Drosophila melanogaster: one gene and its partners. The protein of the gene in region 4 purifies or fractionates together with the protein of the main gene of each other region. This does not show direct contact. Each region holds a gene or a part of one and is shown on either strand. Other genes may lie near its edges.

Region 1 (8,452 bases), on a different chromosome or scaffold from region 4:
CAGTGGATGCTCTTCCTCCTCGGGCTTAGGGTGCATTAGTGTGAATGGCAGCTCAGCTACGAGGTCACCATTTAGAAGTGGCGAGCTAATCAGCAACTTCACCTTCACCTTATAGTGGACCATAATACCGAGACTCTCACGCTGAGCAGGATTGGTAATGAGAGTGCTAGACGCCAAATTGGTGTCCTCATGCTTTAGCTGCCCGTCCAAAGCAAGGCCCCATTTATCCTTATTATTTGCCAATAGGGGGCACAACTCAAATACCTTCGAGAGTGTAAATCCCGGAGCCACTTGACATCCGTCTTCTGACTCGATTTCTGCCACTACAGATTTATATTGCGCCGTCGAAAAGAGACAAATATCCGCAAACTGCCGGACACATACCTTAATCTTTTTTACCGTCCGATTTGAGTTGTTGGCCACATGAACGTTGACCGATATTTTTTCGCCGTGGTGGTATAACTCCTTGTCCAAAGTAGCTTCCAAATGGATCTTGTTTGGCTTCATCATAAACTCCTTGCTTACTTCGATCGATGGCTGCTCACCGACTTTGGATGGTGCGTACATGACTTTGCGAATAGTTAGTCGCACCGAGTTCCGCTTGTGGGGTTTGTCCTCCACGTTCTCACCTATTAGTGATAAACATTATGAATAATGGCATCAATGTATGTATGTTTGTTGAAGAAAACCCATGACGCTCGGGTGTGTCAGTAGTCCGATTCGTTACAAAATTTGTCGTTGATGTTGAGTCTATCATGTATAGAATTCCACGATGTTTAATCACAAGCCGACAATTACTGGCATTTACATATGGATATATATATATATATATATATATATATATATTATTCATATATATGCATATACATTCATTTAATTGATCATCAATAGCATTGCTTTAAAAATACGCATAAATATATATAATTGGTTATCCCAAAAACATAAAAGCTAGGAACATTAGATACACAATTGAACAGACGCAAAGTAAATAAAAATGCTGACTCAATTGTCATGAGGGGAAGCAGAGAAGCACTGAGAAATCGTTTCTTCCAACTGTACAAATTCCAACATTGTTGTTTTTATTCTTAAATTGAATTTGGGCTTATATACAGAAAAAATAAATATTAAGTTCTTGTTATAAACTCTTTTACCCAACAACACGCCAATTGCTGCTATTTTATTAATCTCTGTTTATAACAGTAAACAATTTGGCTGCTGAATAATAATAAAATTCCAACAGAAACTATAAAAGCACAAAAATGTGTAAACAAAATAGGGCAATAGGTAATAATATTTATTGAACAGAGAATGTATTAAGGGGGTGCCACGGGCACATAATATATATGCGAGTGGAGCTCGGCGATCGTACGAAAATATGAAAAATTTAAAATTTACAGAAACCAAAAACCTTTCTACTAATAAAATAAAGCACAAATTCTTTAAACCTTTTTTTAATTATTAAATACAGATTAGAAACTAAACAAATAAACATTTTGAAACTATGTAAGATCTTTGCTGTTGGCACACAAATCGTCAGACCGCCAACTGCGGCGCCTGGTTAAGGCGAACAACAGCATTAACTGCGCTGCAACTTCGGTTGATTCAAATTCCAATTAGAAGTGTCGAATTTCAATTAGGTGAACGCTGCGTCATCAGCCCGACGTAGTTGGATTGATTAACCCTGTGTTCCCAACCGCGTGATGCACGCGCTAACTTACACAAAACCACACATATAAGAAATTTACAGTCTAACTTCTATAGAAAAGAACAAAGCTAGTTTTGCTACTGTAACCATATTCTTAATAAATTATTTTATTCTCAGAAACAATAGTACCCGCAATTTAACTGCTCTAAGGTAAAAGAAAAATTTGTAAAGAAAAAAGAAAAATTTGTAAATTTGTAAATTTAATGTATTGCAACATATATAATAAACACGGTATGTGCCACACTGCGAAATATCAATGATTTTGACTTTGACTGACCACCGTATACGGACACACCCACAAGATCAGACCCACAAAGACTCACCCACAAAGGCCTTCAGCTCGTAGTCTACTCCGCAAGACTTGCCCACATCTCCAGGAGCCGGCTGCAAGGACACAGAGGCTGGGCAATAGGGCGGAACCTCAAAATAAAACGGATGGGCGTTCGGCCCCAGCTTTTTAATTAACCTTTCCTGAAGCCGGGTCATCGGGCGGTCCAGCTGCATGGGCGGATAGATCTGCTCATGCGCCAGATACAGGTCCTTACGGAACGTTAATCCCAAAACATCTAGGTCTTCACGTCCGTACCGAAAGGCGGCAAGCACCTGGCCAAAAACCTTACGGTCCTTTACGTACTCTGGATCAATGAAGACAACACCGTCAATGGGATCCACGTGCGTGACATGGTCGACGAAGTCCCGTTTGCCAAGGTAAACTGTTATCTTGCCGTTGGAGGAGCTCTTCTTAAACACCCGAGTCGCCTGGCGTCTGGAGCTGGCATCTCCACCAGTCTCGTCGCCTGCGCTTCCGCCCCCAGTGCTCCCGGCAGCTGTTACATTGGTGCTGGAGCCATTGCTCACATTTGCTCCTCCACTTCCTCCACCACCACCGTTCATTATGTTATTTGGCGGTTATGCTTGTTATTCTGCTTTTCTGCTGTTCCTGCTTAATTGGAACTCCGTTAAATAAATATATGTGTGCGTTGCGGGACTTGTGCTGCAATTTAATTTTTTATGTGTATACTTGTTCCGCCATTTACCAGCACTGCTTGACAGTCATTGGAAAAATACCAGGGAATATTACATACTAACAAATTATGTACTTCTCTGGTATTTCAATTCAGTGCGAACAAACCGATATATGTTTGGTCGTACCATAATCGCAGCCTATAATTAATATTTATTTTGCATTTTTGGCACCTATTTATATTTCCTAAGTGTGCCCTGGCCCATAGTAAGTGACTTTTAATAATTTTTCTTTCAATACCATTAACAATTGCTTGAATTAACATTAAGTTTCCTACTAAGATAAAATGCAACTGCAGGTTGACTTGGCTTTTTAATGAAATATAATATATATATTATAAATTCCTTTAGAAACAGATGATTCATAGCTGATGATTGAGGAAACTTACCATTTGGAATGTATAAACACATGTAAAATCAGACCGTTGGTAAATATCTAATCATAGATTGTATCCTAAGTCTTAAATAAATACTTTATATAAACTGTTTAATATTTATTTTATTTTTTAAAGGCTTTTATTATTTTTATATGTATACATGTGCATGAACGGACTTTAAACCATATTTAGTAGTGGAATAGAGCTATAAAAATGAGATTGAAGTCTCTAAAATACTTTATTTAATCAGCCTTAGCACCGATAGAGCACAACGGTCACACTGTTCTGTCCCTCTTTTCCACGTGCATTTTATTGAACGAAACCACGCGTTGTTCAGTCCAAACTTGACTTTGCTAATTTTGCCCAGAAAACCTCTAAAAGCTGTCAAAATGGCCCAAAAGAAAGCCGTCACCGTCAAAGGAAAAAAAGCTACGAATGGAGAGGAAAAGCCTTTGGCCAAACGGGTAACCAAGTCCACAAAGGTACAGGAAGAGGAGACAGTAGTCCCCCAATCGCCTTCCAAAAAATCCAGAAAACAGCCTGTTAAAGAAGTGCCGCAGTTCAGTGAAGAGGACGAGTCTGATGTGGAGGAGCAAAATGACGAGCAGCCAGGGGACGACAGCGACTTTGAGGTAAGCTATAAAAAAAACGTGGTCTTCTGAATGGATATGGCTAACATTACATGCATAGTATGCACGTATATATAGATCTGCATGGATAAGAATCCATTTTACGTTTTCTTTGCCACGTGGTTGTAAAGATTTTATAATTATAAGACGAGTGCACATAACCCACGATCCTCTGGTTTTATACCGACTCGGTTCATATATCGATAAAAAAAAAATTGTCTTTATTGGTGCTCTCCCATCAGCGGTTATAAGAAAATTGTCTACTTTTCAGACCGAAGAGGCAGCGGGCTTAATTGACGACGAGGCTGAGGAAGATGAAGAGTACAATAGTGACGATGAGGAAGATGATGATGACGATGAGTTGGAGCCTGGTGAGGTTTCCAAAAGTGAAGGCGCGGATGAGGTAGATGAATCCGATGATGATGAAGAAGCGCCTGTAGAGAAGCCAGTTTCCAAGAAATCAGAAAAAGCCAACTCTGAAAAGTCCGAAGAAAATAGAGGAATTCCAAAAGTAAAGGTTGGCAAGATTCCGCTGGGAACGCCAAAAAACCAGATCGTTTTTGTCACAAACCTACCAAACGGTAAAGTAACTGGTTTATTATTTCATTTTTCAAGTATATTTAAACTTAGTATATTTGTTCCACATAGAGTATCTCCACAAGGACTTGGTCGCATTGTTCGCCAAGTTCGGACGACTTTCCGCTTTGCAGCGTTTCACTAATTTGAATGGCAATAAATCAGTTCTCATTGCCTTTGATACGTCAACTGGAGCAGAAGCTGTTCTGCAGGCTAAGCCTAAAGCGTTAACCCTTGGAGACAATGTTTTGTCTGTGTCCCAACCGAGAAATAAGGAAGAGAACAACGAACGCACGGTGGTGGTTGGCCTGATTGGACCTAATATTACCAAGGACGACTTAAAAACCTTTTTTGAGAAGGTAGCTCCCGTGGAGGCGGTGACTATATCCAGTAACCGCCTCATGCCCAGAGCTTTTGTACGTTTGGCGTCGGTCGATGACATACCGAAGGCTCTTAAACTGCATAGCACTGAGCTGTTTTCTCGCTTTATAACGGTTCGTCGGATCTCACAAGAATCGATTTCACGTACCAGTGAACTTACCTTGGTTGTCGAAAATGTGGGCAAACACGAGTCTTACAGCTCCGACGCTCTAGAAAAGATATTCAAAAAATTTGGTGATGTTGAAGAAATCGACGTTGTGTGCAGCAAGGCAGTTTTAGCTTTTGTCACGTTCAAGCAGTCGGATGCCGCCACGAAGGCTTTAGCACAACTCGACGGAAAGACTGTTAATAAGTTTGAGTGGAAGCTTCACCGATTCGAACGCAGCACCTCGGGGAGGGCCATTCTTGTGACGAACTTGACTTCAGGTGGGTTACCCGTTTCGTAAAATTGTTTAAAATTATTAATCATTATCATGTAAAATTTCGTTGTAGATGCTACTGAAGCCGACCTGCGGAAAGTGTTTAACGATAGCGGCGAAATCGAAAGCATCATAATGTTGGGCCAAAAAGCGGTAGTAAAGTTCAAGGACGATGAGGGTTTCTGCAAATCTTTCTTGGCTAATGAAAGCATTGTAAACAACGCCCCTATATTTATTGAGCCAAACTCTCTGCTGAAGCATAGATTGTTAAAGAAACGCTTAGCTATTGGTCAGACCCGCGCCCCGCGGAAGTTCCAAAAGGACACTAAGCCAAACTTTGGTAAAAAACCATTTAACAAGCGCCCGGCACAAGAGAATGGTGGTAAATCGTTTGTTAAAAGGGCAAGATTTTAGAACTTGAACACTACAAGAATTAGCTTTAAGTTGCGTAGTACCATAAATACGGCCACAGCCCCGATAATTCCATACAACTTGATGTTATGGATTTAGTTGATAAGAGATACTCCATTAAATTTTTACCGGAGAAATGCTAGCCGTATTCAAGCAGATGTCGATTTTTATAAGCATCGGACATGGAACTAAATAAAAGTAAATAAAAACCCCGATAAGAATTTTGTATTCAACGTCTTGGTTTTGGGTAACTAGATACTTCAAAAAACGATTTACTGCTTATATGAACGTATACAGGTGCGATCTCCAGTATATTCCGTTTTTTTTTTTGTGTTTGAATTTTATCTCGCTTCGGTACTCTCGTATATAGGTTCCTATCCCTTCCAAATGGCCCAATGTACAGCTGCGCTTGTTCAAAAAGCGAGAACTATATGAATTTCCTTTGTATAATTAATTTATTAGTAATACATTTTTGTAGTATTTTATAATTTTTTGAATTTTTTTGTTCATACTCAGAAATCTAATATGGTTGGCTAACATATGTATAAACTTGTAAATGTTTGTATGTATGTTTATATTTTTTGTAAATGCCATTTAGATTAGTACTTTAAATTTCAGTAATTGTTGGTTCAAAAAATTAGTTTATCCTTTTTATGTGTAAATATGTATAAAAAATCATCACTTGGATAAAAGCAACGTATAGGGAGTTTAGCCAACCTAAAAAAAACCCTTTCGATTAGGAATTTCCCAATCACTCTGTTTATATATAGTTCGTTCAAGCTACAAAAAACTGTGCTCGTGACGCGTTTGGCTTACTGACAAGTTTTTGTGTGTTATATGTAAGTCTCTGTCTCATGTTGCTTTTGACCTTGTTTTATAAGAAATATAATATCGCTATCGTAATATAGCTTAGGCAGAAAATCACTAATAAGGCAAATTAAAGTGAAGGGCACTGTGTGGGACTTCTGAAAATACATAATGCAAACAAGCTTACTATTTAAACTTGACAACTTATATATCTCAGAGTTCGTTTAAGCCGTGCATAACTCATATACGTTGTATAGGCAAATTATAAGCCCTAGAATATTACTTTTTTTAGATATACTTTCACGAGAGCTTTTTCTTTCATGACGAATTGAAGTAGGTGACACTATCTTTCACAAAGCTTATAAAATTATGCCTACACAAAGGATAAAAGAATACAAAAATAAAACAACTGAAAGATTTTTAAAATATTTCTTGTTATTTTTATATAATTGTAGTATTGTATTAAACAGACAAATAAAGAGCGTATAAGTGTGCTGGAGATACATTCAGTTTTTTGATCCATGTGGCATAAACAACAAATTATAAATAATAATACATTTTTAACTGAGTCACAAAAAAATATAAGTCAAACGAAATAAAATATGAAATGGAAAACGTTTTAAAATTATAAGAAAACACTGGGTAAAAGCTTTTCCTCGTTTAATATTAGTACTGAACATGTTTATAGTGCTGCTCAATTTCCACATTATTAAATTTATAAATCCATTGAAATATAATATGTTTACAGATTTGTTAAATAATAAAATAAAGGTGCTTGGTAGTACAATAAAACCACATAAAATTCGGCCAATGTATAGACATTTTTTTGAAGAAGCAGTCTACAAGTTTCGCTGGTTAAATAACCTTGGTTTTCGTTGGATTAGTTTTAATTCGTTTTGGTTTTCGGTATATTCACCTTAAGACGCCGATAGCTTAACTTGAATTTTCATTTCTTTCTTTTTCTTGCTTTTATTCATGTGTTTTTGTTTTCTTTTGGCATGTGCCACAATTCCTATTCAATACATAATTCTTTTTGATAAAGGACAATTTGTAAATGTTTGACGCAATTTAATGAAATTTCGAATGTGATCAAAAAATGTATTAAAAACATTTTAAATGTAATTGTTATATTTTTAAATAACGGAGAACATGGTGACATTGATCTTTCGATTTGGTTACAAAGTAGCACAAACATTAGTTCACTATGGTATAAAGTAAAAGATTATATAAATAAGTTCAATGAGCAGAAAATCCTAATTTGGTAAGCAAGAGGATGCTACTGTATTCTTCATTTTTCTTTTAACGTTTTCGAAGTTTTCTGCTGTTAAAAGTTTAAAAGTTGTACGAAATTTAATTTAAGAATTTAAGAACGTGAGCAAAAATTTTTTTTAAAGCATTTCAAAAGTAAATATTTAATTTTTAAATAACAGAACACTTGGTGACATTTATCTTTCGTTTTCGTTACAAAATAGCACAAACATTTATTCGCTCTGCGTTCATTACAGTAGTTCATTATTTTTTGAAATAAAATGATTTAATAATATGTAGCAAGAAATCGAGGGTATAATCGTATATAAATAAGTTCAATAAGCAAAAATTCCTAATTTGGTTACCAGGATGCTATTGTATTCATCGTTTTTCTTATTACGTCTTCGAAATTTTTTTCTGTTCGTTTTAAACACTTTTTCTCAATATGTTTTCAGTATTAATAAAGTAATTTTAGGTTTGTGTGATCTGGAATTTAGGATACATATTAAAAATCCAAAAGGGGCACTTCAGCATTATGGGCAGGGACATCTTGTTCGTGAAGCTTTTGCTCTTCAATAATCTTAACCTCTTCTGCTAGGCCCTTTCCCTTAAGCTTGACCACTTCTTCCGCATTGATCTGACCATTAGGTGTTGGGACACATTCATTTGATGGTGCTACCCCTTCCCCGCCCATCAAAGTAGAATTCCGAGCTTTTAATACAGCCGGCGATGACTTAGCCGTGCCATCTTTGGATTGCGGTGTCAATGGCTTGGAAGCAGCTTTGCCTGGTGCTGCCTTTAATGGTGATGACTTCCTAAGAGAGGACGTAGTTGTAGTAGAGGAGCTTCCAGGAACCAGCAAACGACGAGATGTAC
Region 2 (7,923 bases), on a different chromosome or scaffold from region 4:
AAGATAGAATTGACAATAACATCTTAAAGATACATCTCAAAATACCTAATTAAATACGAAAATATTTGGGTTTGGCACTAATGGCATTGATCATATTATGTTATTATAGGACAAGGCCTATTATCGATTCCTCTTTCCTGTTATAATATTTAGATCTTCTACTGGGTAAGAGCAATCAATGAATACCCTTTCCTTCTCCAGCTCTTCCACACCTCCGACAAGCCTGTCGCACATGGCCCGGATGATGGACTCCCTGATCCTCGACTCGCTATCCCCATTTGGCTTCACGAAGATCACGGCCACCAGTCGACCTTCCCGGAACGCCAGCTTGAAGAAGAGCTCGGAAGGCGGCCACTCCTCGACAGCAGAGCGCCACCGGCCCGTCAACAACCTGGGCTCTAATGCACCTGGGGGATTGGGCATTGGCGGAAGTGTTCCGTTGCGCAGCAAGCAGCGGCTACCCACGCAAGGTTGGTGCTCCGGGTGGCGGGGTTTCCTATATAATCATTAAAATGCAGTTTCCGCCGCAGAAGTGGCACCACAACCGCGAGCCAGTCAGACGGCCCAAATGCCATTTCCGTCGCAGCAGCAGGATAATCGGTGGGTGTCCTCCCTGCGTCGGCGGGATCCCGAGCTGCAGCCCACTTTACCCTCCATCAACAGCAATGCGAACAGCAGCAGCCTCAGCCAGAGCCACCACGGAAGTGCTGGGAACGTGGGATTGGCGGGCGCAGGAGCACCTACACCCGCCGCCAGCATGGGCACAATGCGCCTGGGGCGACCAGCAAGGGCATCCGCCATGACCGCCGCCTTGCGGAAGAGCCGATCCGTGGAGCGCCTGCGGGCCAGGAAGCTCAGCACAAACACCCAGCTTAACTTGAAGCACAAGCCGGTTAAGAAGAACTCGCTGGACGAAAACTCCAACTCGGATGACCAAGACGCCACCACATCCCTGGAAGACAACTCGCACGCCCAGTCCCTAGCCACCAGCCACAACACGCCCAAATGCTCACCGAAGACCAAGGCCAAGCACTTCTCGCCCTTGGGCTACGAGGTTCATCTGGTGGACACCCTGGAGAAGGACATTCTGCAGCGCCATCCGTGCATCAAGTGGACCGATGTGGCTGGGCTCAATGAGGCCAAGACAATACTCCAGGTGAGCTTTATGTTCTGAATCGGAACTTCCGATATGCACCCATACTAGTAAAATATATATATCTGTGACATCTATGACTAGAATAGGTTTAAAATTGAGGTCCACAAATATAAAAGTGCACCTCAGAGGCGTGCAGAAGACCTAAATTAAAAGTAGCTAACTTCATATGTATGTACATCTTTTTTTTACCCAAATAGGAAGCAGTGGTGCTTCCGGTAATCATGCCGGAGTTCTTCAAGGGAATCCGCCGGCCGTGGCGTGGAGTGTTGATGGTCGGTCCGCCGGGAACAGGCAAAACCATGCTGGCCAAGGCGGTGGCCACAGAATGTGGAACCACCTTCTTCAACGTGTCCTCCTCGACCCTGACCTCGAAATACCGAGGAGAGAGCGAGAAGCTGGTGCGTCTCCTGTTCGAGATGGCCCGATTTTATGCGCCCAGCACCATTTTCATCGACGAGATAGACGCCCTATGCGCCTCCAGGGGCAGTGACTCGGAGCACGAGGCCAGTCGGCGGTTCAAGGCCGAGCTGCTCATCCAAATGGACGGACTCAACGCAAGCATGCAGGAGGAGAAGGTGATCATGGTGCTGGCGGCCACCAATCACCCGTGGGACATCGATGAGGCTTTCCGGAGACGTTTTGAAAAGCGAATCTATATTCCTCTCCCAAACGGTAAGTGCGAGCCACTTCCTTTCCTGCAGTAAATAATAGTAATATTATGCTCCAGAGGGCACCCGATCGGCTCTCCTCAAGCTCTGCCTGAAGGACGTATGCCTGTCGCCCAGTCTGAACACCGGAATAATCGGCGACGAACTGCAGGGCTACTCGGGATCGGACATAAGCAACGTGTGCCGGGACGCCTCCATGATGGCCATGCGGCGCCTCATTTCCGGACGCACTCCCGATCAGATTAAGCAAATCCGACGCGAGGAGGTTGACCAGCCGATTACTTTGCAGGACTTCCAGGACGCCCGTCTGCGCACCAAGAAGTCCGTCTCTGCCGATGACGTTGCCCGCTTCGAAAAGTGGATGGAGGAATACGGGTCGTGCTAGTTGTACGGGCTGCTGGCCCAGCACCCTCGATAATGATCGTATCCCATGTGTACTTCCCGATCACAATTATTTGTAACCTGTATAAATCGTACTCGTTAGCCGTAATGTTTTGTTTTATATACGCTTAATTGCTCAAGTGCCCCACGCCCAGCATTGCTCCTCTATGTACGTGCACACGGTAATCTGATATCTTATAAATACATAATATATATATATATATTTAATTTGTAATATTTATTCAAAGGAATCCTACTGTAGGCTTATAGCAACATAATGTATTTTGTAATCAACATATTTGAAAACAGAGAAACGAAATAAATTAATCAACACCTTTTGGATCCACAGAACCTACGAGGCCCTCAACTTGGCAATGGTGCTCTGGTACTCCTGCTCGACCACGCGGTATTCCTCATGCAGCTGCTCCATTCGTTGTTGAACCGTTGGCAGGCGAGCACGCAGCATTTCAGTGTCCATCTTGAAGCGCTCCATTTTCTTCAAATCCTTTAACTGCTTGTAATAGACCGCGTTAAGCCGTTTCTTAACTTCCAGACGATAGGGTCGGTACTCCTTTTCATCCTTCACATTGGTGTAGAATAAACGCAAAAGCTCGTACACCTTACGCACCTGGAGGGGATTGAGTTTCAGAGCCTCGCGAGCTTCCCGCACCATCTCCTTGTTGAAGCCCTTGACTATCTCGCCTGGTGCAAACGACTTCAATTTCATGCAAGATCGCGCGTCCACAAAATTCCTCAAACGCTGGAAATCCTCAGATGGATCCTCCACTGTTATGTCCACAACATTCTTCTGTGACTGATAAAACCTGTAAATGCTCTCGACCAATTGGGTAGCCAAGCCGAGTTTCTGGAAAGGCGGCAGTATCAGCATCTGGCTTATCCTGGGCCTCTTGTTTTGCGGATAGGCGTAGTACTCGTATACGGTGGTGTAACCAGCTGTGGCATACTGCCACTGGCCATCGTTGTTCTTGTACTTTTCGTAGCTAAAGGAATGCAGAATGAGAAGAGGACGTTGTTATTGAAACCAGCTACTGATTTTGATAACAAAATAAGCCAATCTTCTTGTAGAAAACTTACCTCAAGAAGTAACACCACTGTGGATCATCAGTGTCGATGTAGGAGGCAGCATCCACGAACCACAAGATGAACGTCTGCAGCCGGGCAAAGAACTTTAAGAATGATGAGCTCTTGTACTCGCACTGGTAGATCTCGAAAAGGCGCTCGCTGCCGTCGTCCGATACCCGCCTGTATTCGCTTATCTTCTCACCGAAGGGCTGAAATTTGTCAGCCTTGTCCAGTGTCTTAAGAAACTCATCAAGATTGATGAAGTAGCAGCCGTCCGGTAGACTCTGAGCAATTGTGCTGACGACGTCGTCTGCCTTGATCTCTCCGCCGGAGATCTCATTCACCCGTTTGCCGTAATCGACGCCCAAGTAGATGTGCAAAGGTCCTGCCGTGTACATTACACGGACGTGCAAGTCCTGGTAGCCGAAAATCGTCTCGGTCTCCCCGAAAATCTGGTGGGCCATTGCGGGATGAAAGGTCAGGGCATCATTGTTGATGTCGGCCTTGTCACGGACTAAAAACGGGAACATTGCAGTTCTACCTCGCTACGAAACAAGGATACTTACTCAGCTTAAAGTCTACCACTTCGAGAGCATCAATCACAAAGTCCTGGTACTTCTCGATTTGTGCCATTGTTGGGTACTTCAAAAGGCGGCAATCGATTCGCTTTCGCAAATGGTGGACCAGAAGATCTTTCCGGAACTTTTTACTTGTGACCGTTAAGTAGTTTGCAGCTAACTTGTTGCTTTAAAAATCAAAAATCACGTTGTTTATAAAACCAGACAGCTTTTTGCAGGCGTTCTAGCGCAATTTTCGCGGCTAAACAAAGTGATTGGCTTTCCAACAATGTTGGACAACGCAAGACGGTGAATACTAACCAACAACACTAGCCACGGATTGGGCTGTCAGATGTGTCGTTTAAGCGATAGTTTAACTATTGGTGCTGAGATTACGATTGAAGATATAACTGTTATGTGTTGATTGCAGGGTTGGAAAGAATGAGAATTTGTATAAAAAAGGTAATTATATCATTTTGTTGCCATAAAAATATTGTTGTTTTTAAATCAGAAGTTACGCAAATTATGTTGTTTCGATTGTTAAACCTCTGACAACCCTATGCGCAATTTACCGATGTTTTCTTGATTTCGCAGTCTTCCATTTTTCTGACAAATTTTGAGTCATACTTTGAGTTGAAATTATAAAAAAAAACCCTTTGGAACGTAATTTTATCCCTACAAAAATATCTTTGACTGTGACACATCTCGCTCTGGTACTATCACTTCAAAATTCACCTTTTCAACACTACAAAATCCCGCAGCCAACTTAACACAGCATTTGTAAGCAAAAATTTGTGCGGAGATTATTATTAGAAAAAAGCCGCTTTTGCATCCAATAACTTTAAGAAAAGGAGCAGACAAACCAACCAGGTTTGAAGCAAGACGACATTTATCATTTCCTATCGTGAAAAACAGTTTTAGTAGATTCTGCAGCAGGGTAAAGGCGAAATATAGGTAGGTTGGAAAACTGCCTCGTCATATCGGCAAAAATTGAAGTAAACATTTTTTTGTAGAACACAATGGACACCTATTTGTTTGATGGCGGCCGCATCACCAAGATGGAGGTGGACTACGAGCCGGCGTGCAACGAGAAAATCCCCCTGGCTAAGGAGCTGGCCAAGAAAAACCCCGACGCCTTTCACGAAGCCATCGAGATGATGCTACAACTGGAGAAGCAGACGCGCCTGGGCGCCGACATGGTTTCTTGCTCACGAGTCCTGGTTGCCATCTGTCAGATCTGCTTTGACGCGTCCAACTGGAACGCCCTCAACGAGTACGTGTCTCTGCTGGTACGCCGTCGCTCCCAGCTGAAGCAGGCTGTGGTCAAGATGATCCAGGAGTGCGTCACGTACGTGGACAAGACGCCCGACAAAGAGACTAAGCTGAAGCTTATCGACACACTTCGCTCGGTTACCGAGGGCAAGATTTACGTTGAGATCGAGCGGGCCCGTCTTACTAAGATTCTGGCGGACATTAAGGAAGCCGATGGCGATGTCGCCGGAGCTGCCACTGTCATGGAGGAGCTTCAAGTGGAGACTTATGGCTCGATGGATAAGCGCGAGAAGGTGGAGCTCATCCTGGAGCAGATGCGCCTTTGTCTGTTGAAGGAGGATTACGTATCCACGCAGATCATTGCCAAGAAGATCAGTATAAAGTTCTTTGACGATCCGGCACAGCATGATCTGAAGCTGAAGTTCTACTATCTAATGATTCAGTTGAACAGAGACACCTCCTTCCTGAATACTTCGCGCCATTATCAGGCCATAGCGGAGCCTCCGCGCAAGAAGACTGGCCTTACACCCGTAGACTCTGCCGCGTCCACGGATGAGCAAAAAAAGAAGGATGACGATAAGAAAAAGAAGGAGGAAGATGACAAGGATAAGAAGCCAGAGGTTGCTACAGAGGCTGAGGTCGAAATTGAACTTACCGAGGAGCAGAAGAAGGAACTGACGGAAAAGCTGGTTTGTGCCGTGCTTTATTGCGTTTTAGCTCCCTTCGACAACGAACAGAGCGACATGATGGCACATCTTTCGAAGAACAAGAAGCTGGAGGAAGTGCCCGCCTATAAGTAAGTACATTTGATTTGAAGTACATTTCGAGCATGTTATTTTATTTTCGATTTAAAAGGGAAATTCTGCGCTTGTTCATGTCAAAGGAGCTGATCAACTTCGACACATTTAATGCAGACTTTGGGCTCGTGTTGGCTGAAAACGAGATGTTCAAGGATAGCACCAAGCATGGCAAGAAATGTATCACCGAGCTTAAGGATCGTCTGATAGAGCATGTAGGTTTTTTTTGATTTAAATCAATACTAATAATAACTAATTGCTACTGGTTATTTCATAGAACATTCGCATCATTGCCATGTATTACTCCCGCCTGCATTTGGCGCGCATGAGTGAGCTGCTGAACCTGCCCACCAGCCGCTGCGAGGAGTATCTTTCTAAACTGGCCAACACCGACACCATCCGCGTAAAGATCGACCGTCCCGCCGGCATCATTTACTTCACCCAAAAAAAGAGCGCCTCCGACATCCTGAACAACTGGGCCACCGACGTCAACCAGCTGATGTCCCTGGTCAACAAGACCTGCCACTTGATTAACAAGGAAGAGTGCGTCTACTCCGTCATGTGTGCTGTCGAGGATTAATCCTGTTCCATAGGTGCTTAGAATAGTGTTTCCCCCTTGAAGCGCCTATCCACACGCAACTGTAATTGTACTAACCCCTAACCATCAACATTTCGATTCTCTTCGTGAAGTTTGTATTCATTGAATGAACTACAATTATTAAATGAATCCCCCCATTAAATCTCCATGCAATTCAGTGCAGTTTTTGCCAGTCACTGGTGATTTCCGGCGGTATTTTACAACACTTTTGGGGGTGTGTGCAGAGTGCTTCTTCTTATCCAGGGAAGTCAACATGGGCGTAGATCTAAAAAAATGACTAAAATTGAATTTAAGTGTCCAATAAAAGTATACAAGTTTATGAAAAGTTTATTAGCTTTTCACCAAGGGGAAATGTCTGGGCTGTAGTATATAGTGTAGTATTTTCTATTACCCAGCTGTCATGGTAAAGTATTTTTCTCAAATGGGTCAGAATCATCCCCTTGCAACTTTTAACGGCGTCACTGGATGCTTGTTATTCTTGTTAATTGTGCCATAGCAAACCTCACATTTTGCAAATTTGTTTGAAATCGGTATTGTTGTTACTTAAGAATGCCAAAAGAAGATTGCAAATACTGGGATAAGTGCTATCAGCAGAATCCCGCACATTTGTCCAAATACAATCATCCGAAAAAGCAACAAGAACACGAAGTGGACGGCGCAGAAGGCAAAAAAGTGGCGCCAAAAAGAAGTGCATCCTCGCAGTCTGGTGAACAGAAAAAGGAAGAACAAACGGAGCCGGTGAACAAGGATAAGTCCAATACGAGTGCTTCAAGTACGGAGATGGTGAACAAGGATACAGCCAAGGGCAGTTATGAAGCCGAAACCGAGGAGCTTCACAAAGAGGCCATGAGCAACATATCCGGAAAGAACTACATGGAGATCTTGGAGAAGCGCATCCGCCTGTCCGTGCAGAAGGAGTACGACAATCTCTGCGAGTCCAACGAGTTCATTCGACACAAGTTCCTTGTCGAAATGCCGCCGGACTTCTACGAATTTTGGAAGTTTGTGGGAAGCTTAAAAATTGATCCTGCGAAGCCCAAGGATGCTGGCTTGGAGCACCTAGACAAAGTATTTCAACTGCAGTTGGTGGGTCCCTTTGAGTTCCTAGCCGGTAAATTTCACGGCGCCAAACTAGGCGAACCGGGAGACTACCTGCGCCACTGGCGTTTTTACTACGATCCACCAGAATTTCAGACGATCTTCGTGCGCCGAGGCACTGGGATTCACTACGGTTACTGGCGCGATGTGCCGCAGGACAAGGAAAATCTCTTAATAGCCCGCAACGACTCTGCGAAAGGCTGCCAGTTCCAATTCGTCGCTGGAAATGCCTTCGATGCTTTCCTCTACTACCTGGAGCACGATTTTGCGGCCACTCCGTTCTCATGCGGGCAGTTGGCGGGGACCAAAAAGG
Region 3 (8,226 bases), on a different chromosome or scaffold from region 4:
GCTATTCCGCATGGCTTTTACTTGTCTTGAATTTTCTTTTAAGATAATACTAAAGCTAGCCTCGCAACTCTTCACTGAAATTCAAAAGTAAAATCTATAACGCGGGCATATATCCTACCATCAGTATTCTATTCCGCGACACACTATTCCAGGCCTGATGCAAGGCCATCCATGGCAGTGCTTCTTGTCGGCCATATTCCCAGAAATCTCTTCAGTCTGTACCGAGTGGATTAGCGTTATCTTAAGCGTTGTTTTACACTTCGGCAATCGATTTTTCTGCGATTATATTTAAGCTCTTTTTTCTCTTAGTAACAAAGAAAATACTACTAAGTTATCAATTATCAGAAGGAATCAAAACATTATTTAGACTTTATAAATAATTAGCACAATTAGCACTAATAAGAAGACTTATTTTAGGTTCTTATTATTAAGGTTCTTTGAAGGTTTTCATTCAAATACGATAACCCACGAAACGATACAGAATCGGTATAAAATATCGAAATATACAAAAATACCAGATTTGTATTTTAATCGAAAACTTAAAAGTCTTTAGACCACATGTGAACTCAGTTTGTTTATTTTTATATTCAATCAAAAGATATAATATAAATATGCTAGCGGTGAACCAGACGAAGAACACCCTACTCGATGGAGCCTCCATTGAGGAAGAGCCGTACACAACTCCGCAGGAAAGCGAGGATTTCTTTGAGAGTCTAGACAAACCGTCGAGGGAGCCAACACAACTGGCACCCAGAAACACCTGTTAGAAGTGCACATCCTTATTTGTATTTCAATTTCTCATACCTCTTGTGACTTACAGTCATCCGCGCCGGTGTGTTGACCACAGTGAGAGGTTCCGCCTACATGGAGTATGGTAACACCAAGGTTCTGGCCATTGTGGCCCCGCCAAAGGAGCTAATCCGCGCCAGCGCACGCAGAATGAACATGGGTGTTCTGAATTGCTATGTGAATTTTGCGGCCTTCAGCACAGGGGATCTAGATTCGGTGCCGGAACGGGAACGCCACCTGAGCAGCATGCTGACCAAGGCCATGGAGCCGGTGGTGTGCCGCACGGAGTTCCTTAACTTTCAGCTGGACATACGGGTGCTTATTCTCGACGATGACGGCTGCCTGCTCAGCACTGCCATCAATTGCTGCGGAGTCGCTTTGGTGGAGTGCGGCATTTCCACTTACGACTTAATTACGGCCTCCACAGCTTGTATCTATCGGGATCACGTCTTCCTGAATCCCAGTGCCAAGGTTGAGGAGCTGCTCTGGAAGCATCGCAACAGCAGCACCGATAGCACAACCAGCCCATCATCCGCCCAGGAGCACGGCCTGATCATTACCGCCAGCATGGATACCTTTGAACAGATCGCCCAGTGCCAGCAGTGCGGATATCTCAGTCCAGCCACCTATGTAAAGCTGCTGGATTACACCCTGGCCATTAACAAGTCCCTGAGAGAACTAGTCAAAGGCGTGCTCACGAAGCGGGTGAAGGAGCAGCACGAACTAGATCTACGCGAGAAAGCCGAGACCGCTCTAGAAGATCAGCGTTTGGAGGAAATAATCGAGAAGCTAAAGAAGCAAGGACCAGAGGAGTTTATACAATCGAACATCCGGGAGGATCCCTATGTAAAGAGGCAGTAGTTGGTTGAGAATAAATCATACTAATATAAATCCCAGATCTATTTGAACAACAACCACCACTTAAAAAATGATTACTACAAATATTTAGAGTCCAGATAAAACTTTTATTCGTTATTTTTGCACTTCCAAAGTTCCGAATAGCTTCGAAAATAATAACATCAAATGCGTAGCGCGCTTCAAAACTTTAATTCAGACTTGTATCTTTCCGAAAGTGAATTTGTAGAACTGTAGTGTATCTAGCAATTCTTAAAATGCCTTTTATCTACTGCTGATCCGTGGAGGCCTCAAGCACGGCTCCGGAGTAGGCCAGATCCCAGTAGTGTTCGACCTGGTGCTTCTGAAAAAACTCACGGGCCATTTTTTCCATTGGAAAGATCTTAAACTTGATCTCGCCAAAGTGCCGTCGCTGACTAGTCCCCTCCCAGACGAGTACGCATGAGTTCGGCACGTCCTGGCCGTCATTGCCCTTGGCGTTGTCCTCCTCCCACTTAATGCGCGTTAGCATGAGCCTGCGATACTTTTTCTGCTGCTTGGGCCCACCCTCCACGACAACCACACAGCAATCCCGGAACAACACCACGCTGCCGGTCATCTGCAGCTGCTTGGCATTGGTCTCCACCTTGAATTTCTTGCTCTGGTTGTCCTGCAGATCTCGTATGCGATAGACGCTGACATGTACACCGCAGCTGGTGTCTTCCCTCAGCTTGCGCTGCTTCTTTTCGCTCTTCTGCTCGCTGGTCAGCTTGCGCGCATTGTTGGCATCTTCGTGCGCCTTCTGCCGCTTGGCCATCTGGTCGCGCACATGCTGCTCCATTTTGGTCGGATCTTGTACGGCCTCCGAGCCAAGCACACGCATCAGGTTGGATATGCGCAGTTTCGGCTCTGGTGGGGCCACCAAACCCAGTCGGATCTTCTCCTGCTCCTCCTTCCAGGCCTCGCGACGGTTCTGGCGACGAAGCTTTTTGCGCTCTTTCTTTGTGAGGAAAACCGGCAGATACACTGGTTTCAAGGGCTCATCTGAAGGAGTAGGTGGTTAGTTGCTTGTGGGACATGTTCTAGCTTTCAACTTACTTGGCGGCTTCATTTGTGTGGGATGCTCTATAAGGTTGGTTATGGCTGTTTGGCGTATGCTTATCTTACCGCTTGCGTCGTCTACCGTCTCCAGATCCTGGGTCAGTATAACTGAGTCCCACCACTCCATGGCAGGCACATCGTCCGGCATGTCCTGCTTGGGGGCAATCAATGCCAGTTTGGTGGCCGACGAGATGCCCGTTTTCCGGGCTATTTGCGAAATCTCATTCTGTAGTCGCTCCAGCTGGCTTTTCATGCGCATTCGTTCGGCCAGCTGCTGGAACTTTCCGGGCTCGTGGAATCTCAACGTCCTCTTGGTTCTAACAGTGGGCTTCAGGGCTATGCGGTCGTCAAAGTACTTAATAGCTTCTTCCTGGGCCGAAGTGCCCGATTCACTCCGTTCACCCAAACCCGTTTGGCGTTGGAACACCTCCCGTTTCTTGGCGCGTATGTTGGCTTTCAATGTAGGTGTCACCGTGGGAATATTAATGGTACGTCCGCTCTTGTCCACAGTGCGTCCTTCATCGTCCAGAATCAGGGGTTTGGGTCGCTCCTGCGCTTGAGCAGCAGCTGCAGCGGCGGCCGCTACCGCAGTGGGCTGAATCAAACTAGCCAAATTGCCAGTAAGCTTGGCCCTGATCTGTGCCTGCAACTCGGCAATCTTCCTGGCCTTCTCCGAGTCCTCGGGCGTGGGCTTCTTCGCCAGCGCTTGAGTGGCTAAGGCAACTGGCATTCCGATCGATGGAACTGACGCCAGCAGCGGATCCTTGTCTCTTAGATTACTCAGGGCCCGCTTGCGTTCCTCGATCTCCCGCTGGGCATGGGCCATCATCAGCTTGATCTGCGTGGAACTCAGCGAGGCGGGCACGGCGACCTCTTCTTTCTTCTCACCACCGCCGCCATTCTTTTCCGGGACATCGAAGCGGGATTTCTTGGGCGCTTCAAGGGCGCTTCCACCACCACTTTTGGAATCTGAGGCGGCAGCGCGCTTTTTGGACAATTTCTGGTCGTCGCCATCCTTGCGCGTGATAATGGACGACATAATTCGCAATTAAATGGGTCGGACTAAAAAGTAAATGTTATTTACCAACTGCTTGGCACATTCCTTGAGCTTAAATCAGCGATTTGCAATTCAAAAACAATACACAAGGTTTTTGGTCTTTGGTGAAAAATTCTCCGAAACACGTTAGGACAGGGTCGTTAAAAAAACATAAAAGTCAGGGTTGTCATGTCGCCAGTGTGACCGTTTCGCTTTCTTTTATCGGGGTGCAACCCTAGTTCTCTCACTTTTTGTCGCTCTCCGCTCCGCCATATTTGTTGAAGCCGCTTACAATTGACTATTTTTTTCTCGTCGTGTCTGTGTGTGCTTAATTATTTGTTGTGGAAATTAAGACAATTTCGTGTGCTCAAACAGTGTAAAAGTTGCATTCGAGTGCTACAATGGCATCGGAGGAAGAGAATGACGATAATTTCCAGGGTAAGTGCATTGTTTCAGTCGGCCAAATGTCGGCGTGAAAAAAACTCGGTCCGACCGTCGCTCGGTCAGGCTAAGAACCGTGGTCATGTTCAAGAGCCGCAAAGCCGCGCAGCGTGCTGCGTCCCCCTCCCATTGTTTATTGTTGCCTATTATCCTAATTGGTCATTGTCATTGCTGTACCTCGTTATAAACTATTTGTATTACAGCAATTGGTGAAATTTGTACATGTGTGGCGCGTTTTTTTGGGGTCTTTTGCGCCTCCTCCATTCCACACATATTTTTTATTGCATTTTTGTGTTCCCTCCATTCGCGAATGCAGGCAATATATAGACGTCCTGCTCACTCATCAAAACATATGTTTTACATGGTTGTTTTGGTCGAAAGTTTTGAGTGGAATACTCTGTAAATCCTTTAAAATTAAGTTTTATCTTAAGTTCTTTAGCAATTAAGATGTTTACTTTACCTGTGAATTGTCAAGTGTCAATTGTAATATACGGAAAATTCATTTTAGTTCACACTTATTGTGGTGTTACCGTATATGCAGTGTTATCATCGGCTGTGCAATGGTATCACCAGAAAAATAGTGTGCCCCTTTTGGAGCTAGTCGAGAATGCCCAGACGGCCTCATCTGCCACCATTTACATTCATTGTTGCTTGGACGTGGCAGCCATGACGTGATTTCTGAGTTTTTGTTAAAGAGATTACATTATTAATTGTAGAGAAAACTGTTAATTAAGGGGAATACGTGCATTACTCGCCACCGCCTACCGATTGCCAGTGTAAAGCCACAAATCCAGTGCGTAATATATCCAACTGAAGGAAAAGCGAAAAAAGAATGATGAAAAGTGTGTGCAAAAAATAAAAACCTGAAATTACCACAAAATATGCATATATATATTATAAATTGTGTAAGAAAGCAATGCAAAAAGAAAACGAAGCAATATGTGCATATATCTAAAGAAACGAAACAAAGATGCGTGGAATATTGTGGAAAATCTTGTCGCACTTCCACTGACGCACATACATATGTGATTTTTTCCACTCCCCCTTCGCCGACGTGCTCTCTTGATTGATTTCTCCACTCTCTCGCGTACTTGCGTCTCTGTGTGTGTGCGTGTTATGCACGCGCGCTCCAGCCAAACGTCGCCGTCGCCCCGTCTCTGTCGCTCCAACGTATATGATAAAAAAAAACTCACAGAAACCCGACGCGTTTAAATTAAATTTAGTTAAAAACAACAACAAAAATATAGCTACCAATGCAATCCTACCGAAGTGCCTGCAAAACAACTAAAGTATAGTCTTTTTAACGAGTTAATCAAAATATGCCAACACACAAGTAAGATGAAGAAGGAGAAAAGTAGAGTGTGGAAAAGAGACGATGCCAAGGGATGGGATGGGAAGGTGCCCGTCTCGCGAGGAAATTGCTGGAATGTAGTAGTAGTTCATAGGAAAACTGATAAACAATATGCCGCCGCTGTGTAACAAAAAGCAGCAGTATCCATAGCCACCCCAATTTTGCATACAATTTATGTTAATTCGTTCGCAGCTGTTCCTCTTCTGTCTACAGGCCTCTTCTCTCTTCTGTCCCTGCCCTCATTCGCCTCTCTTCTGCTTCTCCGTTCGACGCTGTTGCACTGTGGGCGTGTGTATGTATATGTATACGGTGTGCGTGCGTGAGGAAGTTATCCTAGAGAAATAGCGTGGGAGTAGAATTCAATGTCTAATTTTAACACGTTCCCCTCCCCGTCCTTCGGTGCTCATTCTAATTGGATTCGCTGCCGTTATCCTTCGATACATCGATAGGAGGATGCTTAATTCGCTCTGTCTTTTCCCTCACGTTTGTGACGTCAGCCAACGTTGGTTCTTCCCCATTTTTCTTCTTCCTAATTTCACCATTTGCCGGTTCTGTGATAATTTTTATGATTTGCTGCGCTATGCTGTCTTTAAAATTGTTTACTTTAACATTGCCATCCGATTTCCGATTACTCTACCACAAGTAAACAATCAAGAGTAATGCGACATCGCATAAATTACAAAAGGCTAAAACGATGCACATGTATGAGTGCCACTATTTATGCAGTAATGCAACAATAAAAGGGTGTGAGAGGGATAAGAAGGTTTCGGCAATGACGTATGCATTTTTCCTACGTACACAGCAAGAAATACGCAATGGCATTTGACACCGTTTCAATGTTTCATGCAATTAAAGCACATATCGATCAAATGTATTAATAATAATGACATTCATTACCGCAACTTTGTATCTTCAAAAGATCCAAATAATTTGATTTTTTCGTTGTTAATCTGAGCATTCTTGTCATTTTTTTATCAAAAGCTTCGCTGTTGCCGACTGCATAAATCTGCTTAAAACCCCATGTCTAACAACAACAACATGGCGCCAGCACAAATAAAATCAAAAATTCAATACAAGAAGTGAAAGTATACTGTGTGTGTATGTGAGCTGCAGTTACTGGTGTATTGGTGACGATCTTACCTTGCTTTGGCGAAACACAACTTGCCATCCCGCTCGCACGCACTGCATTCAATCAAGTCAACAACAAGTGGTGCTTTTTTATATCCGCCATGTATATACATATACATATCTTTATAAATATATATGCTTGTATAATTGGTAAATGGTATGTGTGTGCTGGCATTTCGAAAAAGTTTACTTGCGCTTAAAGTCCACAAAACTATGAAACATAAATAGGAAAAGTAAATATTATTTTAGCTTTCAAATACGTTCATTTTTATTCAAAAAACGCTCTCTCAAGTAGAACAACACTAGGTCGCTTCGATAATGGTTTTTGTTGTTCTTCTTGATTTTGACATTTGACGCGCATCGTTCGAGTCCGCTCTATGTGCCTTTCTCTCTTTCCAAGCGGTTTGATATGAGCGTGTGTGTCGCTCTTCCGAAGCGAAGGTGTTGTTGTTTTCGGCTGGAGTGAATACAGAGACGCACACATAAATACTCACAAAATCGGCAGCGTTTGACATTGATTACCGTAATACCTTTGGTTGGTCTGTCAGTCTGTGTGCCTTTTTAATATTTGTGCAACTGCTGGTTGTCTTGTTATTTCACCTATTTACAGTAATTGTCTTGTTGTCGCTGGGAGAGAAGGCCGCTATTTGTTTCAGATTATTCCTACGCCAATGCACACACATTACTCTCGCACACTGTCACAAAAATTCAGGCAGCAATTGATATGGTACATTTGTTGCCGTTTTTTCTTTTTTGGAAGTCACCGCCACCGCAAACGTATACACATGTACCGGATTGTGTACGGGTTCATTTATTTTTAAAGCATTCAATGTAGTATTATGGGAATGTGAAAATTAATCGAAGCTTATCACCTGTTGTACTGATCAATTTTATCTATCTTTCCGTTTCGCGTGTGTGGGAGTGTATTAGAGATGGTTTTAGGGTTGTCAAACTATTGAAAATTAATCGATTGTTACCATTCCAGTTACATTTTAAATGAAATCTCTGGACATTCTTCGAAAATTGTTTGTTTTTGACTGGCCCAATTTAAATGTGTTTATCTAAGCTCAATTACAGATGGGCATATTTGTATGTAGCAAATAGGCAATGTGTTAATGATTGTGATCACAGATCACCTTGCATACCTGTAGTCCCTCTGCAATTAAATGCTTTTTTAGCATATGAGGTGAAAGTGAAGGTCATTAATATTTGCATATGGAAATGTTTACGCAGCGAAAATGCCGAAACATAAATGGTCATATGGCAAATGCTGTTTCGTTTCGTTTCGTCGTAAAATTCGCTTGCCATCGGACGCCATTGTGGTTTCCGTTTCTGCTTCTCTCTTGCGCTCTCTATTTTCCTCTTATTCTTGTTGTGTTTCTGAAAAAAAAAAACAAGCAGAATTGTTTTTGCTGTTTTTAATAGCCTTAACTTAATTGGTTCAATAGTTTTGTAATTGTTATCGGGCTCCGTTTGCGGCCCACAGCAAAACCAAATTTGTGCTCGATTGTCACCGAATATAGGTTTATGTATGTTTTCTGGGTGT
Region 4 (6,581 bases):
CAAACCAAACCCAACAAAATTCACCGTCGATGTTTTGGCTAAATAAACATAACCAAAACCACTGAGAAACAACCAAACGAAATGAAACTAAACAATAAAGCAGATAGTGAAGTTAGCGAAAGGGCGAAGCAAGATGTGGCTCCTACATTTTAGGATATAGTTTACAACGCGTCGTTGTAGCAAAGAAGGCAAAGTGGCTAAGGCTGCTGGGAGACAGAACTGTTGCAGTCTCCGGATATCAATTATATGGCTAAATATTTAAAGAAAATAAATACCTATATTTTGTATGATTGTGTAAGTTGTAATATATCTAGACAGCAGTACTTTTACTGCGCCCAATTAACACATGTGCAAATGCCAAAAAGAAAGCAGAGCCGCCAGCCAGAAAATAGCTTGACGAAAGCTCAACTTACGTTTAAGTCCTGTAACCACCCATTGGCAATCGATCCATCCCACGAAAGACAGCAGATCAAGTGCGAGCGCAGTTGCCACATTCAGTTGAGGCCAGTATCTAAACTATCTATCTATTCATGTTACTCGTTTAAGTGCTTAGTTCTCTATACATCGAGGTCGTCCGATGGGCCGCGACATTCTAAATGGTGACTCATTTCAAAAAGCGCACTACCTACCTTGGACTAGGCCCATAATTTAAGTGCGTTTCGCGTGACTACATCTTATGCATCCTAATCCTAGCTGAAACCCTATGTTTGTAGCTCGCACGGCGCTGGCCGGCAACTTTATAGTTAAACTATTATGGATTATGTTTTATGTTGTACATGAAAATGGAGACGAAGCAAGCAGCAAGAACTAGAAATAAAACGAAATGCTATACGTATCTCAATGACATGTTATTTATTTGGTGAAGTTCATCCCGATTCTTATAAAAATCACGAGTTATTTGAGTGAATTGATTACTTTGAACCATTTGAGTGAAATTAACAATCTTGTCGAGCAAAAATATTTATTTAAAGCTAATTCTAATTGGTACAAAAAGGGGGATGTAACAAACTCTTTGAACTTTTCATTACGTAAACACTACAATGGATATACACAACTATTCAAACAAATAACTAAACTAAGCCTAAACTTCTCTTTTGGACTAAAATTGCCGACCCCGGTCGCAGATGTAGGCCATCAATGCCATGTCGCGCACCTCCAGTGTGACGCGATTGCGATGCTTGGTTAGCATGTAGGAGTCGGCGAGCCGCTGCGTCAAGTACATCTCGCACGACTCCTGCATGGCCAATAGGGCGCCTTCGGTGACCCTTAGCGGCTCGTCGTCGCTGTACTTCACGATGAACTCGCGCACTAGACGCGAGAACGGCAGCTTGGGTATCAGTGTGCCGGGATGGTGCTGCAGTCGCCGGATCTCACGATCCATTCTCTTGGCTCTGCTCATGGGATTGGCCGCTTTGCGCCGCCTGGTCTGGTTTTGCGCAGCAACTGGCCCTGCTGCTCGCGTTTTGCTTTCCTGCTGCACGGTCATTCGACGCGTCTGCGGCGATCTGGTTGTGGGATAGCGATTCTCCTGGTCCTCCTCCTCGCCACTGGTGGAGCTGTCTCTCGCTGCCGGCTGCCTCCGTCCGGCGTCCCTGCGCAACGTCGAGGAACGCCGATTGTTGTCCTGAAGCGTCAGTTGGCTGGTGGTGAATTCGAGGCCGTAGTCGGTGCCGTCTTCTGGCTCCGGCGAGCGGAAGGCCGTGTCGTCGTCGTTCGGCGACTTTGAGTTGTTCGCCGACGGCCTGGGTGCGCGCTTGGCTCTGCTGTGTCGTGGCATTTTCAAATTTTCGGTATTTGCTTAAAATATTTTTAAAGAATTCCCGCTTTTTTGGAACAGTGTGACCGTATAAAGCAAAGCAAATAATGCCCAGTACCGATACCGATTTGAATGGGCACTGACTAACTAAATATATTTCTAGCAGTTGAGAATTAAAATATGTTTATTTATGTGACAATTAATATTAATGGGAATACATGGTAATTGTTTAAAGACGTCCAGTACTTTAACTTATTTTGCAGTGATCATTTATACCCCTAGAAATCGATTAATTACTACTATACAGGTATCGATCAATTCCCATCGTTAGTGCACAGCTGATGTGAAATTGTTTACCTCCTAAATTTTTGGATAATTACCCTATTTCGCCATTAAAACTCATTAGCAGAGCACTGAAGATACAGCCATGTCGGAGGACCAAGGCAAAGACTACACACTGGAGTCCGACTCCGAGCTGCGCTTTGAAATCGAGCAGAAGGATGCCAAAGTGCTGGTGTCCGTAAGTAGTGCAAAAACCTTTTTGGATTACAATAAATTCGTTATTTATAATCAAATTGTTGATTTCAGCTGGTCAGTGGATTTGCGGAGCTGTTCGGCACGGAGCTGGTGAAGAAAAAGCAGTACGAGTTCGGCGTGGGCGCCAAGGTGGCCATCTTCACGTACCAGGGCTGTGTACTCCACGTCTCCGGCAAAATGGACGTGTGCTACATCTCCAAGGAGACGCCAATGGTGCAGTACGTCAACTGTCATGCGGCACTGGAGCAGTTCCGCATGGAGGCCGAGGAGAAGGATCGCTACGGACCAGTGGCCATGGTCGTCGGTCCCATGGACGTGGGCAAGAGCACTCTGTGCCGCATCCTGCTTAACTATGCTGTGCGCGTGGGTCGTCGACCGCTGTACGCCGACCTGGATGTTGGACAGGGCTCGATTGCCATTTCCGGGAGTGTGGCCACCATTCTCATCGAGCGACCGGCGAACGTTGAGGAGGGATTCGCCAAGACAGCGCCGCTGGTCTATCACTTTGGCCATAAGTCTCCCAGCGGAAACAGCGTGCTGTACAATGCCGTGGTTTCCAAAATGGCAGAGGTAACACTGCAATCTCTGAATAGCAACAAGCGAAGTAAGTTGGGAAGGTGTAACACATATCTTTGCACTTTTCAATACATTTTCCCGTTCATAAACTGCAAATTTCTGCATCTGCTTTTTGCAGCAAAAAGCTCTGGCATTATTATAAACACTTGTGGCTGGGTAAAGGGATCCGGCTACGCGCACCTGTTGCACGCGGCCAAAGCCTATGGAGCCTGTGCCATCTTTGTTCTGGACCAGGAGCGACTATACAACGAGCTGCTTCGAGATGTTCCCAAGGGAGTTCATGTGGTACTGCTGCCCAAGAGCGGCGGCGTCGTCGAGCGCAGCAAGGAACTGCGACACGAGGCGAGGGATCAGCGCATCAAGGAGTACTTCTACGGCAATACAAGGGCGCCCTTCTATCCGTTCAGCTTCGAGGTGAAGTTCCAGGACCTGCGACTCTACAAGATCGGCGCACCGCCGCTGCCCGACTCCTGCATGCCAATTGGAATGAAGGCGGAGGACAACAAGACCAAGGTGGTGGCGGTTACACCCACGCCCGCCCTAATCCATCATGTGCTGGCCCTCAGCTTTGCCGAGTCCGTGGAGGACGATGTGATTGGCACCAATGTGGCCGGCTTTTGTTGCGTGTAAGTGCTGCTGAACCTAAACTAGATATTATACTAGTTATATATGATTGTTATTTGATTATCCTCAGAACCGAAGTGGATATGGAAAGACAGGCAGTGATGTTGCTTTCGCCGCAGCCGCGACCTTTGCCCCCGAACGCCCTGCTCCTGTGGTCGGAACTGCAGTTCATGGATAATCATACCTAGCATTTGTAAATGCTCTGCTCTAGATGTAATTTAAGAAATTTTATATTAATGTTGGCGTTACAAAAAATACAGTTTAGATGTGCAAGTAGTAAACTTAAAGTTTTCCACAAGTTTAACAACTGAAATAACATTTAATAACATTTTGCAAAAATTAATTAAGTTTTGCTATAAAAGAATAGAACATATATCAAACAAATATTGTAATTTCTGAAAATTGAAAACTATTATAATTAATTATAACTATACAAGAATATAATATTCAGTATATGTATTGTATGTGTATGTATGTATTATTATGTGTTTCTTATAACCACTGAAAAAGGGTTTTGTAAAAATTGCATTTGAATATATTTGCAATGTGCATTTTTCGCCATTTGGTAAAATTATGTAATTCTATTCGAAAATAATTCAAACAAAATGGTGTTCTAAATTTTTTTAGCAAGGTGTGCAACCAAACGTCTACTCTACTTCCAGTATATTTTTGGTATATTTAGAACACTCAATTGGTAATATTTAGGCAAATTAGGTGCAGCCATACTGACGGCTGCGTACGTCGCCTCAGTGCGGTCACACTGTTCGAAAGAGCGAGACGAAAAACACGGCAACACGGCGGACGGAAAACTCAGTGAAAAGTAAATCAAATATTTACAAAACAAAGTAACCACAAAATGGCTGCGCTCGGTCGAATTGCGTTGGTTTAACAACAAATAGCGATGAAACGGCGACGATTAATACACTTTCAACGGGCATAAACCATAGATACTGTGGAATTTGTCGTGCTTTTCGTGTTTGTTGTGCAGCATGCGAGATGTTGCTGATGTTGTTGTTGGAATGTGTATCAAATGGTTCTAAAAACAAAACAAGAGATTTTCGGGCATCTAAATTTACGGCCTGCTTGAAAGACGTTCTGTTTTCCCCCAGTGTGTGTGTGCGTCTGTGCATGTGTGCGCGTGTGTTTGTGTGTTTTCTTCTCACTTGCTCTCTGTTGCTGCTGCATTTTCCAGCGGCAAACGGCGTTTGTTTTGGTTGCGTCGTGAAATTTTCCACTGGAAAGTGCAGCGCTGCGCCTTTCTGGGGGTTGCACACACACGCGCACGCACCGCAATTCGTCGATTGCCGGCTTGTTGCGCCGTAGAAGCGGCGGCAAAAGAGGTTCCCTAATTACCCAGAGTCACCTTATCACTTACAGTATTTCAATTTGGCGACCAGTTGATCGGAGGGGGTGATGGCGGTGTGGTGGCCCTCACACAGTTGCACAATTGCTTATCACTCGCTACTTAACGACAACAACAATTGGTGGCTCGCACACATGCAAACAAGACGATCACACTCGTCAACAAAGAAGCGGGAAACTCAATTGAAAGACTGAAATAACAACAACATAAGCAACAGCTAGCTTACACTACGCAACAAAAGTGCGAGCACGAGGAACTAAAAGTTATTAACTCACTAGTGATCAAAACTGAAATAAATTTGAATTGTATTGTAGTCATAACAGTTGAACCAATATTAATCTATTAAAAAAGATACGTAGAAAGTAAAACAAAAATCCTAAAACCTATTTACTAACAGGCATAACTCTGCAAATACTGTTGTAACTACAAACGAGAGTTCAAAACAAGGGTGTTATTTGATACCCTAGGGAGTGAAAGATTTTCGAGAGCGACCTGTTTTCAAACCTCCCTCTCCCTTCCACTTGCAGTTTTTCCGTGTGATTACCATGTGCGCCTAACAAAAGACAAACACGATCGGGTCGCGTCATCTGTTGTTTTTGCGCCAAATGTCTTAAAATTCCGGAGATAGTGCTTCCAAAATAAGATGGCTCTCGAGCCATACACAAAGTCTGCTGAAATCGAACCTCAATTGTGCCAAGTTATAGATAATAATGAAGATGTGACAACGAAAGCGACGAAATGCACGAAATCTAACAGCGGAGTGGGCTGGCGACAAATGCTGATCGGCTTTCTACTGATTTGCTTTGGCATCTCAAACAGTTGGCAGTACAAAAATGGTAAGTTCTGTGCTTTCATTTCGAACAAAGGGCAACGGTTTTGCCAAAGGAGCTGGGAACTGACAAGCATTTGATGGCAGTTCGATTAATTTGACGAGTGGCGAGGGCTTTGAGTTCAAAAAACCGCAGGGATAGACAGTTTGTAATGGGAATGGGGGTTCGCTGATATCGTTCCTCTACTTTCCTCAAAGGCTTTTGTACTACAGGTATCGCTCGCTAATGTGAACCAACGTAGTTGCGTGATTCCCAAGTGATTGAATTATAAATTGAGAGTGTTTAGTCTCAAATCAATATTTGATATTTATATTTATTGGTCAATATTCATTTTAAATAGTTAATTTAGCAAAATTTCAATATGTACATCAAAAATTACTATTCAGATAGAATATTTACTTAATAGTATAGTTCCTTATTTCAATGATTCACTGAATTTAAAAGCTTAAAATCCCATAGATAAAATATGAGTAACTGAACTGCATTTCAGGCATGTTGCCTGTTCGAGTGCCCACTGTATGCGTTTGTTTATGTGGTTTCAACTGCACTTTTGAGCTTCCCGCTCCCCGCCCCTCGCCCAGCCTTTTAGCCCCTTCCTTTGCCGCTTTGCGTTTTCCTTTAAGCTCTTTTTCGTGTTGTCAAAGCCCAAAGGCTGACAATTTCTCGGCGCAATGCTTTTATGAATAAACAACTACTACTTATTTAGACTGTAGTACGCACTCAACTTGATTGCACTGCGCATAATTTAGTACCCCCTTCTTCATCTACTTCTACTCCTACGACTACTACAACTCTGCGGCCCCACCAAACACTTTTCCACTAGATGCGACGCTAATGAGCTGAAAAAAGCAGCTCACTAATAATTCAGCAGTTGTAATATGGCAAAGTTGCCCGG

The links.
Region 1: the proteins of cid (region 4) and mod purify together in Drosophila melanogaster (affinity purification with western blotting; 2 studies listed by BioGRID, with this or other methods). This does not show direct contact.
Region 2: the proteins of cid (region 4) and Hat1 purify together in Drosophila melanogaster (affinity purification with western blotting; one study listed by BioGRID). This does not show direct contact.
Region 3: the proteins of cid (region 4) and Mi-2 purify together in Drosophila melanogaster (affinity purification with western blotting; one study listed by BioGRID). This does not show direct contact.

What each region holds. Positions count from the first base shown.
Region 1 is NT_033777.3:32,049,241-32,057,692, forward strand, and holds mod (modulo), read left to right. Parts: upstream 1-2,819; 5' UTR 2,820-2,936; intron 2,937-3,079; 5' UTR 3,080-3,156; intron 3,157-3,240; 5' UTR 3,241-3,494; coding exon 3,495-3,737; intron 3,738-4,005; coding exon 4,006-4,315; intron 4,316-4,382; coding exon 4,383-5,117; intron 5,118-5,183; coding exon 5,184-5,524; 3' UTR 5,525-5,734; downstream 5,735-8,452. Other genes in the region: krz (kurtz), read right to left, coding at 1-629, 2,029-2,599; Map205 (Microtubule-associated protein 205), read right to left, coding at 8,082-8,452. UniProt on the Drosophila melanogaster protein: Its capacity to bind DNA and protein(s), and its differential expression during development suggest a role in the regulation of gene expression during Drosophila development.
Region 2 is NT_033777.3:5,784,912-5,792,834, forward strand, and holds Hat1 (histone acetyltransferase 1), read right to left. Parts: upstream 4,474-7,923; 5' UTR 4,418-4,473; intron 4,164-4,417; exon of another isoform or gene 4,034-4,163; 5' UTR 3,922-4,033; coding exon 3,855-3,921; intron 3,803-3,854; coding exon 3,301-3,802; intron 3,207-3,300; coding exon 2,558-3,206; 3' UTR 2,426-2,557; downstream 1-2,425. Other genes in the region: kat-60L1 (katanin p60-like 1), read left to right, coding at 202-470, 519-1,156, 1,354-1,828, 1,884-2,209; Rpn5 (regulatory particle non-ATPase 5), read left to right, coding at 4,865-5,913, 5,973-6,129, 6,192-6,494; Hpf1 (histone PARylation factor 1), read left to right, coding at 7,062-7,923.
Region 3 is NT_037436.4:19,906,015-19,914,240, reverse strand, and holds the start of Mi-2 (Mi-2), read left to right. Parts: upstream 1-4,025; 5' UTR 4,026-4,161; coding exon 4,162-4,198; exon of another isoform or gene 4,199-4,607; intron 4,608-4,661; exon of another isoform or gene 4,662-5,043; intron 5,044-8,226. Other genes in the region: Mtr3, read left to right, coding at 612-762, 821-1,650; Prp3 (precursor RNA processing 3), read right to left, coding at 1,913-2,667, 2,722-3,763. UniProt on the Drosophila melanogaster protein: ATP-dependent chromatin-remodeling factor which acts in nucleosome-remodeling by catalyzing ATP-dependent nucleosome mobilization. Involved in regulating transcription. Plays a vital role in development.
Region 4 is NT_033778.4:13,480,887-13,487,467, reverse strand, and holds cid (centromere identifier), read right to left. Parts: upstream 1,852-6,581; 5' UTR 1,778-1,851; coding exon 1,100-1,777; 3' UTR 837-1,099; downstream 1-836. Other genes in the region: cbc (crowded by cid), read left to right, coding at 2,184-2,276, 2,345-2,897, 2,988-3,495, 3,564-3,681; arr (arrow), read left to right, coding at 5,500-5,692. UniProt on the Drosophila melanogaster protein: Histone H3-like variant which exclusively replaces conventional H3 in the nucleosome core of centromeric chromatin at the inner plate of the kinetochore.